Diceros bicornis minor: one gene and its partner. The protein of the gene in region 2 interacts with the protein of the main gene of each other region in a biochemical or structural test. Links are inferred from orthologs where the notes say so. Each region holds a gene or a part of one and is shown on either strand. Other genes may lie near its edges.

Evidence for each region.
Region 1: the proteins of LRP2 (region 2) and DAB1 form a complex in vitro, tested with the Homo sapiens proteins (2 studies listed by BioGRID). The link is inferred for Diceros bicornis minor from reciprocal best matches to the Homo sapiens genes LRP2 and DAB1.

Annotation. Positions count from the first base shown.
Region 1 is NC_080752.1:19,192,548-19,200,455, forward strand, and holds the start of DAB1 (disabled homolog 1), read right to left. Parts: upstream 3,091-7,908; 5' UTR 2,998-3,090; intron 1,895-2,997; 5' UTR 1,759-1,894; coding exon 1,692-1,758; intron 1-1,691. UniProt on the Homo sapiens protein: Signaling adapter of the reelin-mediated signaling pathway, which regulates the migration and differentiation of postmitotic neurons during brain development.
Region 2 is NC_080749.1:51,012,201-51,019,547, reverse strand, and holds the start of LRP2 (low-density lipoprotein receptor-related protein 2), read left to right. Parts: upstream 1-4,297; 5' UTR 4,298-4,459; coding exon 4,460-4,538; intron 4,539-7,347. UniProt on the Homo sapiens protein: Multiligand endocytic receptor. Acts together with CUBN to mediate endocytosis of high-density lipoproteins. Mediates receptor-mediated uptake of polybasic drugs such as aprotinin, aminoglycosides and polymyxin B.

The DNA of each region.
Region 1 (7,908 bases), on a different chromosome or scaffold from region 2:
CTCCCATTCCAAATCTTCAGCAAAGCCAATGTTCTGAAAACTTGAATTCTCTCTTTAGAATGCTTCTGGTTTTGCATGTTAAAATTAAGAATGAAAAGATATGCACTAAGATACAATTTTTAATGCATTAAGCATTCAAGAGCACAAGTTTAGTGCAAAGGTTAAATTTGAAGCAAAAATATAACTTGTCAGTTTCCACTGAAAAAGCATTTGAATTCTAGCACATACCGGGCTCTGCTATCTTTTTTTTTTTTTTTTCCCATGTAGCAGTTCTCCTAAGACCTGTTCTCTCACCCACTTGCTTTCCTTTTATTATTCTTAGACCATGATGCATAAAAAAACAAGGTTTACATTAAGTTTTAGAGAATAAAATAAACTGCTTCTAAAATATTTGTGTTTCAAATAAACATCTAAAGCAAAATTTACAGTCCTTCCTGGGGTTTTGGCTGTCCAAGAGCTGCATATGTAATTACATTTACATCCCTTGCTTCCTATAGAGTGTCAGACAAATGCCATCACAAAGCATGACTGGGCAGGCACAGCGATGTCTCTAACAAATAACTGCCCAGACAAGGCAACCAAGGGCATCTCAGTTTGCAGGCCCATATTGACAGATTTTAAGACCTGAAAGAGAGCTCTTTTAATCCTCTTCCATGCAGCTAAGAAGACAGGGGAGGGAAAGAGCTGAAACCACAGGGAGAAAACACACACACACACAAAGTAAGAAGTTGCTTACATCTAATTACAAGGGAACAAACTTACTGAAAGGTTTGGTCATAAAGCCATAAGACCACATCCTCTAGAAAACATGCAAAGTGATATAGTCGTTTTATTATCACACTATGCATGCGAGTCTTCATTACCAGATATCTGTGTGCCTCCTCTCCAGGCACTTTCTAAGTGTTGGGAGTTAAAGGATGAACAAGAGGTCCAGCTCTGAAGGAGTGTATACTACAGCCAACAAACAAAAACACAGGGCATTTTTAATAAAGTGAGATACTAACAAAGTGCTACTAAAGCGAAACAAAACAAAAGCAATTCACCCAACTTGGGGAGTAAGGAAAGGCCTCCCAGGGGGTCCCACTAAGGTCAAACCTGAACAATAAGTAAGAGTCGGTATCAAAGAGTGGAGAGCGACAAAAGACTTCCGGCTGGCTTGACGGTCCAGTGGTTCTCAAAGTCTGGTCTCTGAACCAACAGCATCAGCGTCATCTGGGAACTTGTTATAAACACAGAGTCTGGGCCCCAACCCAGACGTGGCGAATGCAAAACTCTGGGGAAGAGACTCAGCAATGTTGTTTTAACAAGCCCTCCAGGTGATTCTGGTGCTGCTGGAGGCTGAGAACCACTGGGATAGCAAAGGCGAACTGCAACAGACAGAATGCCTGGAGGGTAAACAGGGCTGGCTGGGGGGACTGGGTGGCTCAGGCAGAGAGGTTGCTGGAGGGATGGGCAGAAAGCATCTCAAGAAGGGCTTTGTATATTTTGAAAAGATTTTTGGATTTTACACAGAGAATGGAGAGCCATTCAAATATTATACTATGAGTACAAAAAACACCAAATAATGCTGGTGACTATTAAAAAAGATATGCAATCACAAAGACAGTACTATGTACCATTCCAGAGATTTAAAAAAACTCCATTCCTGTACAGATAAGTAGTCACTAGGAAAGGAACCAATTCGGCCCTACCTTTCTTTCTGGAGTCTTTCTTGGCGCTGGTTTTCACAGCTACTTGAAGTTCTGTCTCAGTTGACATCCTACTAAATCCTTAGTCCACTTCACACAGATCCCGGGCCTCGGCCAGGCTCATTGAGGACTCCTCTCCAAGAGAACGACTCCTCCCTTCAGAAATGACACCCCAAGCCGCACATTTCATTCACTCCTTTCGAGTGCTGCAAAGGGGAAAGAGAACATTCAGAATAATCACCCTTTCGAAGTTAAACAGAAATTAAGGGAAAGAAATGAACTGGCAAACACATAAAAACAGCAAAATCTTGGTCTCCATGTGCAAACTGCTCGCATGACTTCACCAAGTCATTGACAGGGCTCACCTAGCACAGGAATGAGAGTCTATGCAAACTCTTTCTCAAACTAGGTAACTCAGAACAGATCCTTAAAACTCTGGACTTTCAAGAAGGGCAAAACCCAACTCTTTCTTTTCCATGTTTCGTATTTTCAATCACTAGATGCCACCCAGAAAATAGAGCAAAGGCGTATTTCCTGACTAGCCCTGTGGAGACATTTCCAACAGCAGGCACCCATCCATCAGCCAAGCTTGATCAGAGCCTTGGCAGCTAAAGCAGATCATAGGGAAGTGACCTGTGGTCTGTCCCTCACTGGCAGGCATCAGAGGGGACATGGAGTTGACATACAATTGGGCTCCAAGGGTAAAGTGACAAATGGGGCTGAGAAACTTTCCAGCAAGCCAATTTTTATGTCAGCTTTTCCCCCAGCTATAAGAGCAGACAAGCATGTAATGTGAGGAGAAAAAGAAAAGAAGCAGGCAGACACATTTCATTCATTCTTTGTTTAATAACTATGCACTGCACACTTCTAGGTACTATTAAGTTCAGACACTGTGCTGGGAAGAGATAATAATGATAATACAACCACTTCAATTACAGCCAGTATTTACTATGCACTTACTATACACTATGCCCTCAGCTACTGCTTCACATACATTATCTCATTCGATTTCATTTAAATTGAGTGAATGTATTCTCTGTGTCAAGTCAACAGTCTTTCCCAATGACTATTTATCTGATAGTCATATCTGAGAGTGCAGTCGAAAATAAACATTTCACTAGTTACCTGTTTTTAAAGAATACTAAGATAAAGCTACTGGAAATGGATCTTCAAACCATGCAGCCAATTCTTAGCTCATTCTGCAGATCTAGAACTGTTTCATCTGCAAAAGCCGACCTTCAATCCCACTTTCAGTGCAAAAAGAAGAATGACCCAAACCTCTTAATCATGACAATTAAAGATGGCTTACCTATCATGCTGTGGCGGCGTCCCACATATAAAGTAGAGGAAGATGGGCACAGATGTTAGCCCAGGGCCAATCTTCCTCAGCACAAAGAGGAGGACTGGCAACAGACGTTAGCTCAGGGCTGATCTTCCTCACCAAAAAAAAAAAAAAAATGATGGCTTAACTAAAAGCTCTATACAAAAGCCACATAAATAAGGCTTAAATATAAGGAAATTCCCACCTTATCCCAAGACATCTGGTTTGTTTGTAACAAAGGAACTGTTTTTTAAAAAGGACACTGGCCCTGAATGAGAGGTGCCTGAACTAGAGGATCTAAGGCTACAACTAAGGAAAACGGAAAATTACCTTCCTAGAATGGGGTCTGTGAAATCATGTGTAGAAAATGAGAACTTTTCCTGCCACTTTTGTGCCATCTATCTGCACTATGCACTAGCACTCATCCGCTTCCTAACCTCTCCCCTGCAAAAGACAACACTCCATGAGACGACAGAGTCACAAAACTCAGTCATATATGGACATAATTAATTTTATTAATTTATTAATTTTACTAATAATACTTATCATTTCACTGCAACAAATATTTACTAAGAACCTACTATGGGCCAGGTGCAGTCGCTGGCTCATTCATGTCAACAGACATTTACGGCACGACCATGCTGGGCAAGAGCACAGGGCCAAAGCCTGATTCCTGATCTTAAAACTCAGTCTAGCAGAGGTGTCAGTCATGTAAGGGACTGCAATACACATGACCAGAACAAAAACAGGCAAATACCAGGCATACTGGGGCACAAAGGCACAAGTGCTCAGCTTTGCTTGGAAGTCCATAAAGCTTCACAGAGAAGTAGCCCTACACTGCGGCATCTCGAAGAATGATGCTTCTGCCAGGTGGATGATAAGGGAAAGGAGCAATGGGTACTCAATAAATGTATGTATAATGAATGAATGGTTGTTTCAAGCAGAAAGACCAGCATGTGCAAGGAGGCTTGAAATTAACAACCAAACTAATAAAAGGAAGCATAAGTCTAGTAGGGAGGTGATATACTTCCCATCTTCTCAATTTTTCCTTGTGCTGTTACCTTTCTATGCAATCTTTCTTTACAACTTGCCTTGACATTCTACCAACCCCTCAAAGTTTAGTTCAAAGTATCTTAGGCAGAAAGATTTTCTGATCCCTCTGTTAAATGGAATCTCTCCCTACTTAAGTTATGATCTGATTTTTGGCCAACTGTATAGTTTGAGCCACTTACAAGCAATGTGACATTGAGGACATTACTCAACCTATCTTTACCTCAGTTTCTCTGTCTGTATAATGGGGATAGCAGTAGCAACTTCACGGAGCTGCTGTGGAAATGAAGGTGATCAAAGGTGTAACAAGCTTAGAAGAGTGCCTGGCACATCTCCGGGCAAGCACTTCATAAATATCAGGCACTAATAGTTTCCTATGTTAATTGCTCAAGGTCACATGGCTGGTATGTAGCCACAAGTCTATATTATTATCCTCCTTTTACAGAGGAGGAAATTAAGGCAGGTTAAGTCTGCTTTCTAAGGATGAAGTGAGGAAATGGTAGAATCTAAGATATTTCCATCATGCTGGTCTTGCACACAGTAGGTACCTAATCCATAAATACTGAAATGAGCTGAAATATACAGATTTTACACAATTTCAAGCACTCTTAAAAGTCAGCATATTGGATTTGGGCCATTTTCTCCTCTTCAACTTTGTAAGCCACAACACAGCACCTCTCTCTATCTTGTGGGTATCTCCAGCGTCACTTGTTCGACAAAATGTGATTGTGTTCAAGTGCCACAAGCATTACTGGTGAATTTCTGAAGTACATCCCTATAGCAATAATGAAACAAAACCAGCATCATTTCAAATAAAAACTTAAACAGGGAAGCTGCGGTATGCAGAGAGAGTACCATGGCCCGGACTCTGGCAGTCCCTTTAATTTTCCAAAAGCCAGAGGTTGAGCAAATGCTGTGAAGTAACTCCAAATTATTTAGGAAATTCGTTTCTTTGTAATTAAGGAGATTAAAGTCCTCCAGGGCCAGAAACCATGTGACAGCTCAAATCATTTTTCCCCGGTAAAAGCTGTGAAACCCTATCAGTTAAATTCAGGCTCGCCTAGAATTTTGAAATGCTTCAATAATGTTTCTTTGCTCCACACAATCTGCAGTAATTTAATATTCCTGAAGTGTGTCAGGTTTTTTATAATGAGCTCTTCAAATCTAAATGTGAATTATGTAACATTCCACTACAGACATTCTGTCTAGTGAACTGCTTCTAAACGTAAAAGCCGGTGTTCAGTGGTGGGGGGGACACGAAAACCACAAAGCAGAGAACACAGATTGGCATTTTTTTTTTTTAACAAAGCACAAAGGTTTGAGCAGCTACAACAGAACAAACACATACTAAAACACCTACTATAACACAAATTTGTGTTCTCTCTCCTCTTCACCCACCCCTCTCCTCCCCACCCACCCTTCTCCTCATACAATCCTATAGTAGAACAGCTAATGTTTATAGGGGCCCACTATTTGCCATTGTGTGCTATGAACTTTTCATATTTTATCATATTCAATCCTTCAATCACTTGAAAAGTTAGATATTATTATCACTCTCATTTAACAAATAAGGAAACTGAGGCACAAACCAGTCTAGTAGCTTGTCCATGGTCACATGGCTAGGAAGTCACACAGCAAGGGCAGAGTACAAGCCACTCTTCTCCCCAGTTTCACTCAAAACCCTCCCAGATGTCCATCAGCTGGTGAATGGATAAACAAAATGTGGTGTGTCCACACAACGGAATATTATTCAGCCATAAAAAGGAATGGAGTATTGATACATGCCGCAATGTACCAAGCTGTAACATCATGCCAAGTGAAAGAAGTTAGACACAAAAGGTCATATATGGTATGATTTCATTTACACAAAATTTCAAAAATAGGTAAATCCACAGAGACAGAAAGCAGATCAGTGGTTGCCAGGTGCTGGGGGAAGCAGAGAAGTGGGCAGTGACCACTTAGTGGTTATAGGTCTCCTTTGAGGGAGACAAAAATGTTTTGGAGCCTGATAGAGTTATGGTTGCACATCATCATGAATGTAGTAAATACCACTGAATTGTACACATTAAAATGGTTAATTTTATGTAAATATCACCTGAATTTAAAAAAGTACAAAACCCTCCCAGCCAGGTCCCACACCCTGATTAAGCCTGTGTGATATGCTAAGAACACTGCAAACTCCAGTCTAAAATGTCAATCCAGCCTTAAAAACCAGAAGAAGAGGCAGTCTGCCCAGACCCAGGACTTTGCAGGGGGAGGTGTGGCACAACTGCATGCATAAAAGCTGCATGCCACTGCCTGCATGTTCCGTGATTCAGGGCATCTTACTCAGCTCCATCCGAACTATAAAGCACCGAAAACAGGCCGTTTATCAACAGGCACAAAGGTTTGCAACAGTACAGATGAGGAGCCTCAGTTTCCTCGTCAGTAAAATGGGAAGACCACCATCAAGCATGTAAGATTTGGAAGATGAAGGAAAGGGAGAGACATAAATCTGCTTATCTTTGCAAAAAGAAACACAGGACAAACCAACCAGACCACAGTGAAGCTGTTGATCTGCATGGGGACATGCTAGGTGGTGGGGAGACTGGGTGACTGCATAGAAGGATATGGCAGCGGGGGACACTTCTCAGAGTACTGTATAGCTTTTTGCATAATTTCTACATTTGGAATACATGAATGTTCTACATATCTGAAAAAATTAAATTAAATTAATGAGGATGGGAAGTAGGGGTGAGGATAAAACTAGAAGTGGACTGGAACAAACTGCTCCAATTGTATTTCAAATGAACATCATAAACACAGTCGCTGAAGAGGTGGGAGAGAAAGAAGTAATACAAATAACTCATGATCACAGAATTTGACTCTTTACACTCAAGTCCTAGGCAGGGTTGGGACAGGGGGAGCTGCAAACAAGCCCCAGACTCTTTCCAGTAGGTTTGTCCATGGTCACATGTCTAGGAAGAGCCATTATGCCCCTATTTTAGATGTGTTATAGGACCAAGCAAAGGAGTAAAAGCTTGGATGTTCTTGGGAGGCAAGTTTCTCGTTATGGAAGAAGAGACATTTAAATACAGAAAGGGGGATGGCAGGAAAGAACGCTGTGGGGACAGACTGGAAACTGGAGATTTCAGGGTAAATTCCTGATTTATAAAATATACATCCATCTGTATATGAACGTATAGGTGCACACATATACAGATATGTGTGTATATATGTGTTTATATGCATATATTTCCCCCCTCTGTCCACTGAACCCCAGTAACAACGTGATACCCAATACCTGGGTTTGGGTTTCTACTACCATTCCCCAGTAAAAGAAACCAGGGGTTCTTGAGAATGGGTGATTCCAGAGCTGGGGCAGGGCAGGTGCAAGGCGAGCCCAAAATATCTTGTTATCCTAGAAAGGAAGGAAGTGCCGAAAACAAACACAAATGATGGGGACATGTCACCAGGACACAGACGCCATCATGGAGGAGCTCTCACTGGCCTAATCTGGAACAAGTTAAACACTCATTTATTTAAGGATGGTAATAAATAATAAACCACCAAAAAATAGGAACGCATGAATCCATACTGGTAACAGACAGATAAACAAGTGGGGAATGAAGGGAAGGCTGCTTGCTTAGAGCAAGAGAGGTTCTGTCTGGTAGACCGAGAGGGAGTGCGGGAGCATAAAAACCACACTTTGCAGCCATCAGAGTAAAGCTTAATCAGGCAAGAATCATCAAAAAATGTTAAATCTAGGGAAAATTTTTGATGAGAAGGAAGACATTTGCAGGTTTTAAAGTATCTTCTCACTTATTATTTATAGTTGCAAGCAAAAAATTTACGACTATACAATGGAGA
Region 2 (7,347 bases):
TTTCCATATTTCTAGCTTCTGTAATCTTGATGCTTTAACATCTGCCCTGCATGCATATGCTGGACACACCTTGTTCTGGACAACCTGATAATGTGCCTGAGTCACCTTGCCTTGACCTCTGGCCTCCCTCCTCAGGAGTTCTCCCCAGGGAGTGCTTTTCAAACACAGACTAGCCAATCCTAAATCTGTTTACCCTGCCTGCCTGTGTGTTCCCTCAGAAATCACAGAGAAGGTGCTTGCCCACAACCCGCCCCCCTTTCTGTCTCCTAGTGAAGAGTCTGGTGGTGCCCTGTGGGCCCCCAAAGGCGTGACCTGTATTCTTTCTTTTGGGATCTGTGAGTATAATAAACTATCTTTTCACTGATAGTTGTCTCCTGATCTGTTGACCTTACATACCTAAATAATAATAAATCCTATTCAAACATCTGCCAGGTTCTCCACTTATAGTTACTATTTTCTCTTTTCAATTAATAAGTAATTTGTGGGGAGAGATCTCAAACTTTTGTGACTGAGATGCATAATAAGAAATATATTTTACATGGTGAGACAGCATATCTATCCATCTATCTATATCTGAAACAAGAGGGCCGGCCCCGTGGCTTAGAGGTTAAGTGCGGGCGCTCTGCCACTGGCGGCCCGGGTTCGGATCCTGGGCGCGCACCAACGCACCGCTTCTCCTCCCTCAGCCGTGTCCCACACACAGCAACTAGAAGGATGTGCAGCTATGACATACAACTACCTACTGGGGCTTTGGGGGAAAAAATAAATAAATAAATAAAATCATATATCTGAAACAAGAGCTTTGTGAAACAAGTCATATCTTTTCCATATGAAAGTTATTTTAGTTTCTATTCTATTCTATTTCATTTGAAAATAATTTGATAAATTGATTTCATAACCCTCTAATGGGTAATGACCTTTGTTTGATAGCACTAGTCTGATGGAAATATCACTTTGGATCATCTGCTTGCAGAAAGGAAAATAGGTGGATAGATGGGAAGGGGTAAAACTGACAGCAAGGAGCCCATTACAAGGCTCTTGTGATAATTCAGACGAGAGAGGTTGGTGGCTTCTGGGAATGAGGTTGAAAGAAGTGGGTGGGTTTGAGAGAAAAGTGAGTGAAATTGAGGAACTTGAGTTAACAGAATGGGTGTGGGGAAAAGAGAGAGGAGTCAAGAATGACAATTACCGCCTTGGCCTCTGGGGCAGATGATGGTGCCCCTTACTGAGATAAGGAACTCTGAAGGTTTATGGTTCAGGCTCTGTCATGTTGAGTTTGTGGTTTTAGGGACATTGGATTAGAGCTGTCCAGTGAACAGGTGGCTCCAGGGCACTCAGGAGGCAAATCTGGGCTGGATTAATAGCAAACTGAAGTTGGATTTTACTCAAGGAGATTTTACAACTTCATGCCCACTGCAGGAAGCAGAAGTTGGCTCAGGATAGGAACAAATGCTCTGAAAATATTTCCAGTAATTTGGCGTTGAGATGCATAAGTAAAATAATATAGACAAGTCAAAAATATATCAAGGAAGTCAATTAACATAAATTTACTAGAATAAATTTCACTTTTCAGCACTTTCCTGTCTCTTTCGGTTAACTGCTCTGTAAAGTCTTATGTGCATATGTGTAGAGAGATGTGGAAAATAAAGAAATTACACTTTTGCATAATATAAAAACAATGCTGCCTTAAATCACAACTCCATTAACCTGGGCTTTCCCAGATGCTGGTCCTTAGATTTAATCCTCCAAATCTAGCAACGAGAATTCTCAGGTATAGATACGGCAGATAAACACGAGCATGGTGCAGGCTGCAAAAGATGCCTGTTTTCAAGCGGCACGAGTTTCGGGTTGCATTGAGAAAAAGGGGTTTTCTAGTGGAAAAGAGTGTGGATGCGTAAGTTTATATGCATAGTGTTGGGAATGATGGACTGTGCTCCGTTAGTGGTCCCTCATCCCCCATCCCCACCCTTTATCTGCTCCCCTCCCTCCCGTTCTCCCTCCATTCTTTCGGCCTTCTCCGGCGTTATTCTGGGATTAACGGCAGGGTCGGCCCCATACACAAACGCAGCTGGCTCATACGGTCAGCCTGAGCCCTGCTGTGCAACCACGTCAGGAATTCCAGTAAGTTGGCAACACTGGAGCACAAAGACAACAACAATGAGGAAAACCCTTCAGTGCAGAAAGGAATGTTTGGAGCCCCGGCTGCTACAGTGAAAGGACGGACACACACACACACACACACACACACACACACACACACACACACTCCCGCCCGCGCTCACCCTCCCGCATCCCCACGCGCCCACGCGCGCACTGGGAGGCGCGCAGCCCCTCCCGCGCATGCGGTCCCCCTGCCCGCCGGCGGGCCCAGGGGCGCGCCTCGCCAGCGCCCGCCGCCGCTCTTTGTAACTGCGTGGTGCGGAGACGCTCATTGACTATGCAGCGCGGCTCCAGCCGGCGTCGGAGCGGCCTGACCCCGGCGCGGTCTCGTACCATCACCCCGGCCGCCCGGAACCGGCATAAATCACCCGGGGAGACTGAAGTGCAGCTTCTCGCCCCCTCGCCGCTTCCCTCCTCCCACCCGGCTCGTCCCTCTCACTTCCCACCACCGTGCGCCTCGGGTCCCCAATCCTGCCTCCTCCTCCGCGCCGCACAGCGCCAAACACTGTGCAGAGAGGCAAATAGCGTTTCAGTGACTTTGGTCAGATCAGAGAACTCTGGATTTCCAAATCTAGAAATCTCGAAAAGAAAGCCACGAAATATCTCCCACACTTCCTCACAGCCCTGCTCTGTTAAGTCTTAGTTTTCACTTTCTGTGTCTATTTCTCCGTCTCTCTCTTTTTGTTTTTTAAAAGCAATATCTACCCCCCCCAAAGCTTCACCAACCGCTAAAGCCCACCGAAGCTACGCGATCCCGACTGTTGGGGGTAGGCAGAGCCCCAGACGATCCGTGCTCTGCAGAAAAGGGGTGGCATTTACCGGCAGGTTCTCGCCCTGGGGAGGGCGAGGCGGAGGGACCCTGCCCGGGGACTTCGTGGATACAGGGCTGCCGCCTCCACGGTCACGGCCCCTCTGACTGAGGGAAACGGCTCCCAACTCCTGGGACCAGGACCTGGCACCTGGGACCCCGCTGCCGAGTTAGTCCAGGGACCGGGGAGGGAGATTCTGGGGCGACCCCGGGCCCGGAAACATCCTCTCCCAGGGCCAGGCAACAGGATGCACCAACCCTGCTTTTTTTTTTCTGTTGGCTCTGGTGTCACGTACCTGCTGAGGACGAATCTCTGAGGGTGAATGTAAAGTTCACTTGTAGTGCTCTTGGGGGCCAGCTCCCCGCCAGCCTGTCCCAACACTGCCCCAAGGAAGGGAGCTGCGGGGTTCTCTGAACCCCTTACGTTCGTTTCTCCCTCACATAGAGGGGCACCAGCAAGATCAAGACGTTCATTCAAGTTTGCTTCAGAATGAACAGACTTGTAGAAGCGCATTCAAGTTTGCTTCAGAATGAACAGACTTGTAGAAGCGCAATCTGGCCGTGACACCTGTAGATGTGGTACTTAAGAAAAGTAAACAAGGGTCCAATCCCCTCCCCGACATTGATGCAACCCCCTCCATAACTTGCAAAAAACACAGAGCACCCCATCTCAGCGCCTCAACTCTATGGGGGGAAACCAGAGTGTTGGAGGGAGACTGCGGATTTCAGACTAGAGAATGGTCACAACTCTCTCCAGCAGGCTCTTTACTTCTCCCCTTCCCCTGTCTTCCTTTTCTTCCTTTTCTAAGTCTGATTTCTCCGTGGACCGCCTAGCCGACTTATATGCGGAGGATAATCCTGCAGAGGGGCTAGGGCAGCGCAGGACCGCGTGCGAGTGTTTGCATGTGAGTGACTGTGAGAAGTGTGTGTGCCCGTATGAATGAGGGTGTGTAACTGTGAAGTGTGCGTGCATGTGTGTCAGTGTCTGTGCGTGTGACTGGAGTGCGCGCACGCGTGTGTGTGACTGAGGACTGTGCACGCGCGTGAATGAGCGTGTGAGACTGCGTGTCAGTTTGTGTGACACTGAGGAGTGTGTGCGACTGTGTGTGAGGCTGTATGAGTACGTGTGTGGGTGTGCGCGCGTGGAATGTGCATGTGTGAGCGCGGTGTGTTCGAGTCCCCACTCCTCCCTCGCTGCAAAGTGCAGAGGGCGGGCCGGGCGGCAGGGGGCCTGCCCCGCTGGATTCCCGCATGCTAGTTCCGGGGCGGTCGGGTCTAAAGGGCTTTATACACTGTCTGGAGGGTGGGGACTGGCGCGGGTAGAAAACGGGATGCCTCGGGCGCCGGGGCCGGCTCTCCGCCACTAGGAGCCCGGCGAGGCGCGGACCGAAAGGAGCGCTCGCGAGCGGAAGTGGTGCGGGTGCTGTGTGCGACGCGCGCCCACCTCCCAGGGAAGGAACGGCGAGGCCGGGGCCCGGGACTGTCGCGGGGATGGAGCGCGGGGCGGCGGCGGTGGCGTGCACGCTGCTGCTGGCTTTCGCCGCTTGCATGGCGCCGGCCAGTGGTCAAGGTAAGCGCCCGCCGGCTCAAGCTCCGCGCGGAGCGCCTGACTTCCCCTGCCGTGGCAGGGTCGAGTCCGCAGGCGGGCGATGGGGACCGCGGCCCGGCAGGGGCCAGGGCAGGGCGGCAAAGCCGGAGCGGCCCCCCCTGGGGCGCTCAGGTTGCCCAGCGAGGGGCGAGTGGGAGCGCCCCTCCTTCGTCCGCTCGGGAACTGAGCAGCCGCAAACTTGAGAAAGGAGCTCCTCCGGTTTCAGCGACAGCTCACACCACCGGGACCCCATCTTTGTTCCCACGGGAGTTTGTCCCGACCTTCTGGAAAGCGCTTTGCAGTTGGGACCCGGAGAATGAGGTTCTTTCCCCAGTGAGTGCGCAGCCAGCTACCCCCACTGATTTATTCTCTCCGGGGCTGAGCGGTCCTCGGCGCTGCTCGGTGCGCAGTTTTCCACCTGCAGCGCCCCGCCGGGGAGATCCCGTCGCGCGCCCTGGACTGCTGCGGGCTAGAGCCGCCCCCCGCCCCCCTCCTTCTTCACCAGGGAAACTTGGTCCCGCGGTGACCCCCAAGAGACCGCGTCTCGATACAGATCATTTACGAGGCAAGATAAGGCCGGGAGGTGGGATTGGCTGAGAGAGCGGCTGAGGCACTGGAGCATTTTCTTGAAGGGTTTTCCTTTCCATCTGGGAGGTGGGGGCTTTTGTGTTGATGAATGGGGCCCGTCTGCGCGGCCAGAGTTTTGAGGGCTCGAATGAAGAAAGTTTCTGTTATAAAGCGCTTTAAACTTCTCTCAAGTTGTCGGAGAGTTTACCTTTTTACAGAAACAGAGGTAGAGAAAGAGAGGGAGGAAGGAGTGGAGAGAATAAAAACAGTACGAGTCCCCTAAGAGAGAAGACGACGAGCACGTAGAGAGGAAAAGGGAGAGGAGGAGGAGAGAGCGACAGAGCTTGAAGACAGAGTACAGCAGCGCGTGGGGGCGGGGGGGGGTGGAGAGCGAGAGGGAGGGCGAGGGAGAGCGAGAGCGCGCGCGAGAGAAACCGGGGATGAATGGGAAGAGCGAGAGGAGGCCGGGGAAGCGGCGAGCTCTCTCCCTGGCTTTGCGTTGCTAGGTAGCAGCCGGGAGCTGCGTGTGACCGACCACCAGACAGACAGAGCGGACGCTGCTGCCTCCGCGGGGACTAATCTGTCTATGCGGATGGAAGAGTCCCTCCTCCCCCTCTTCCTCTCCCGCTCCTTCCTTCTCGTCGGACAACTTAATTGCCCTACAATGAAAATGAAACCCCTATTGTTGTAGGATTAGCCAAAGCAATAAATTGATTTCCCTGGATCACATATTGGGGTTGACGGGTGGGGACTGTGGAAGCCCCCACTTATGGCGGAGAGAGAGGCGGGCTTGTGGATGGGCCGTGGCGTGTATTCAAATGGTTAATCTGCCTTCTTTCCTCAATTCTTAGCATAAGCTCCTTAGAGGGAATCAACTAAGTAATCATACAGCAACTCCTAGTAGTACCCATTTCAGACTTCCTGGGAAGAAGTTTGGAAACGCCAACATACTCCACTGGTCTTGCAAAAATCGCAGGAAGGGAGGGGAGGCAGGGGGAGACCGTTAATAATTCTTCCTTTGAACACCTTTTCTCAGTGTTGGTAACACAGAAAGAGGATTTATTATTATTGTGGAGGGTTTGCCCCAGTGCTTAGGGTTATATATATCTCGCGTCCTAAATATAGCCATAGGATTTACTATATGTTCCTGTCTGTGCCTGGCAAAAGGAAATCTTGTCCGGATTCATCTGGGATACATCTGGGTTGTCCCCGTACAACCAAAACAGATGTTCTCTCCCCTGGATTGATGGTTTAGTCACCAAATAACCTGTACTTGCTCTTCCTGGTAGTTTACATCTATCCATCTTCCATTCTATAATAATAATAATATATAATAATAATATGTATAGTAACATATCATACACTTATACATGTGGCAGGCCCTGTTCTAAGTACTTTACACTTACTGACTCCTCTAATCTTCATAATGCCCTTTTGTAGTAAGTACTCCTTCTCCCTGTTTTACAGATGAGAAATGGAGGCACAGAGCAATTAAGTAACTTGCCCAAGGTCATACTGCTAGAAAATGGCAGAGTTGTGAGGCAAATCCAAGAGATTCTGACTCCAGAGGCTATAATTTAACTGCTGTAGTGTGTAGCTCTCTCTCTGTTTCTCTGTCTCTCTTCTTTTGTACTAAAAATGTCATGCTCCCTAAGTTACTAACCATGCGTGAGGTTACTAAAGAAGCTGAGGGGCATTTTGCAAGTCTTTGCCACATAAAGTCCAATCCACCTGCTGCTCCATTACTGTGGATATTTTTTCAGAAACTCTTCAAGTTTCTATGACCCAAATCCAAGTATTCTCACTGCCGGTCTTCCTTCTTGATCATTTTTACATATGTGTCCTCTGAATGTCCTTAGCCTGGAAGGTTAAGGAGATTTCTAGATTCTTGTTGTATTGATTCTACTTATCTGATGAAGTAAGTATGATTACAATGGAAATGCCCTTATTTTAGCACCACATTTTAGGTAAGATCTTACTGCAAACTTTGCATCATTAGAATTTGGAAAAGAGTTCTGAGTGTTTTATGGTTAGTCTTTTAAAAAAATTATAGCCTATCTGTAGCTACAAATTATTTGCATTTTCCTCATATTTTGTATACTGCTTTTTAAGAAAAAATTTGAGAGACTGAACTCTGGTGTCAACCTGTCTGGGTTCCAGCATTGGCTTTACCATTTTCTAGCTGTGTGACCTTGAGGAAGTCACTTAACTTTGCATGGCTCAG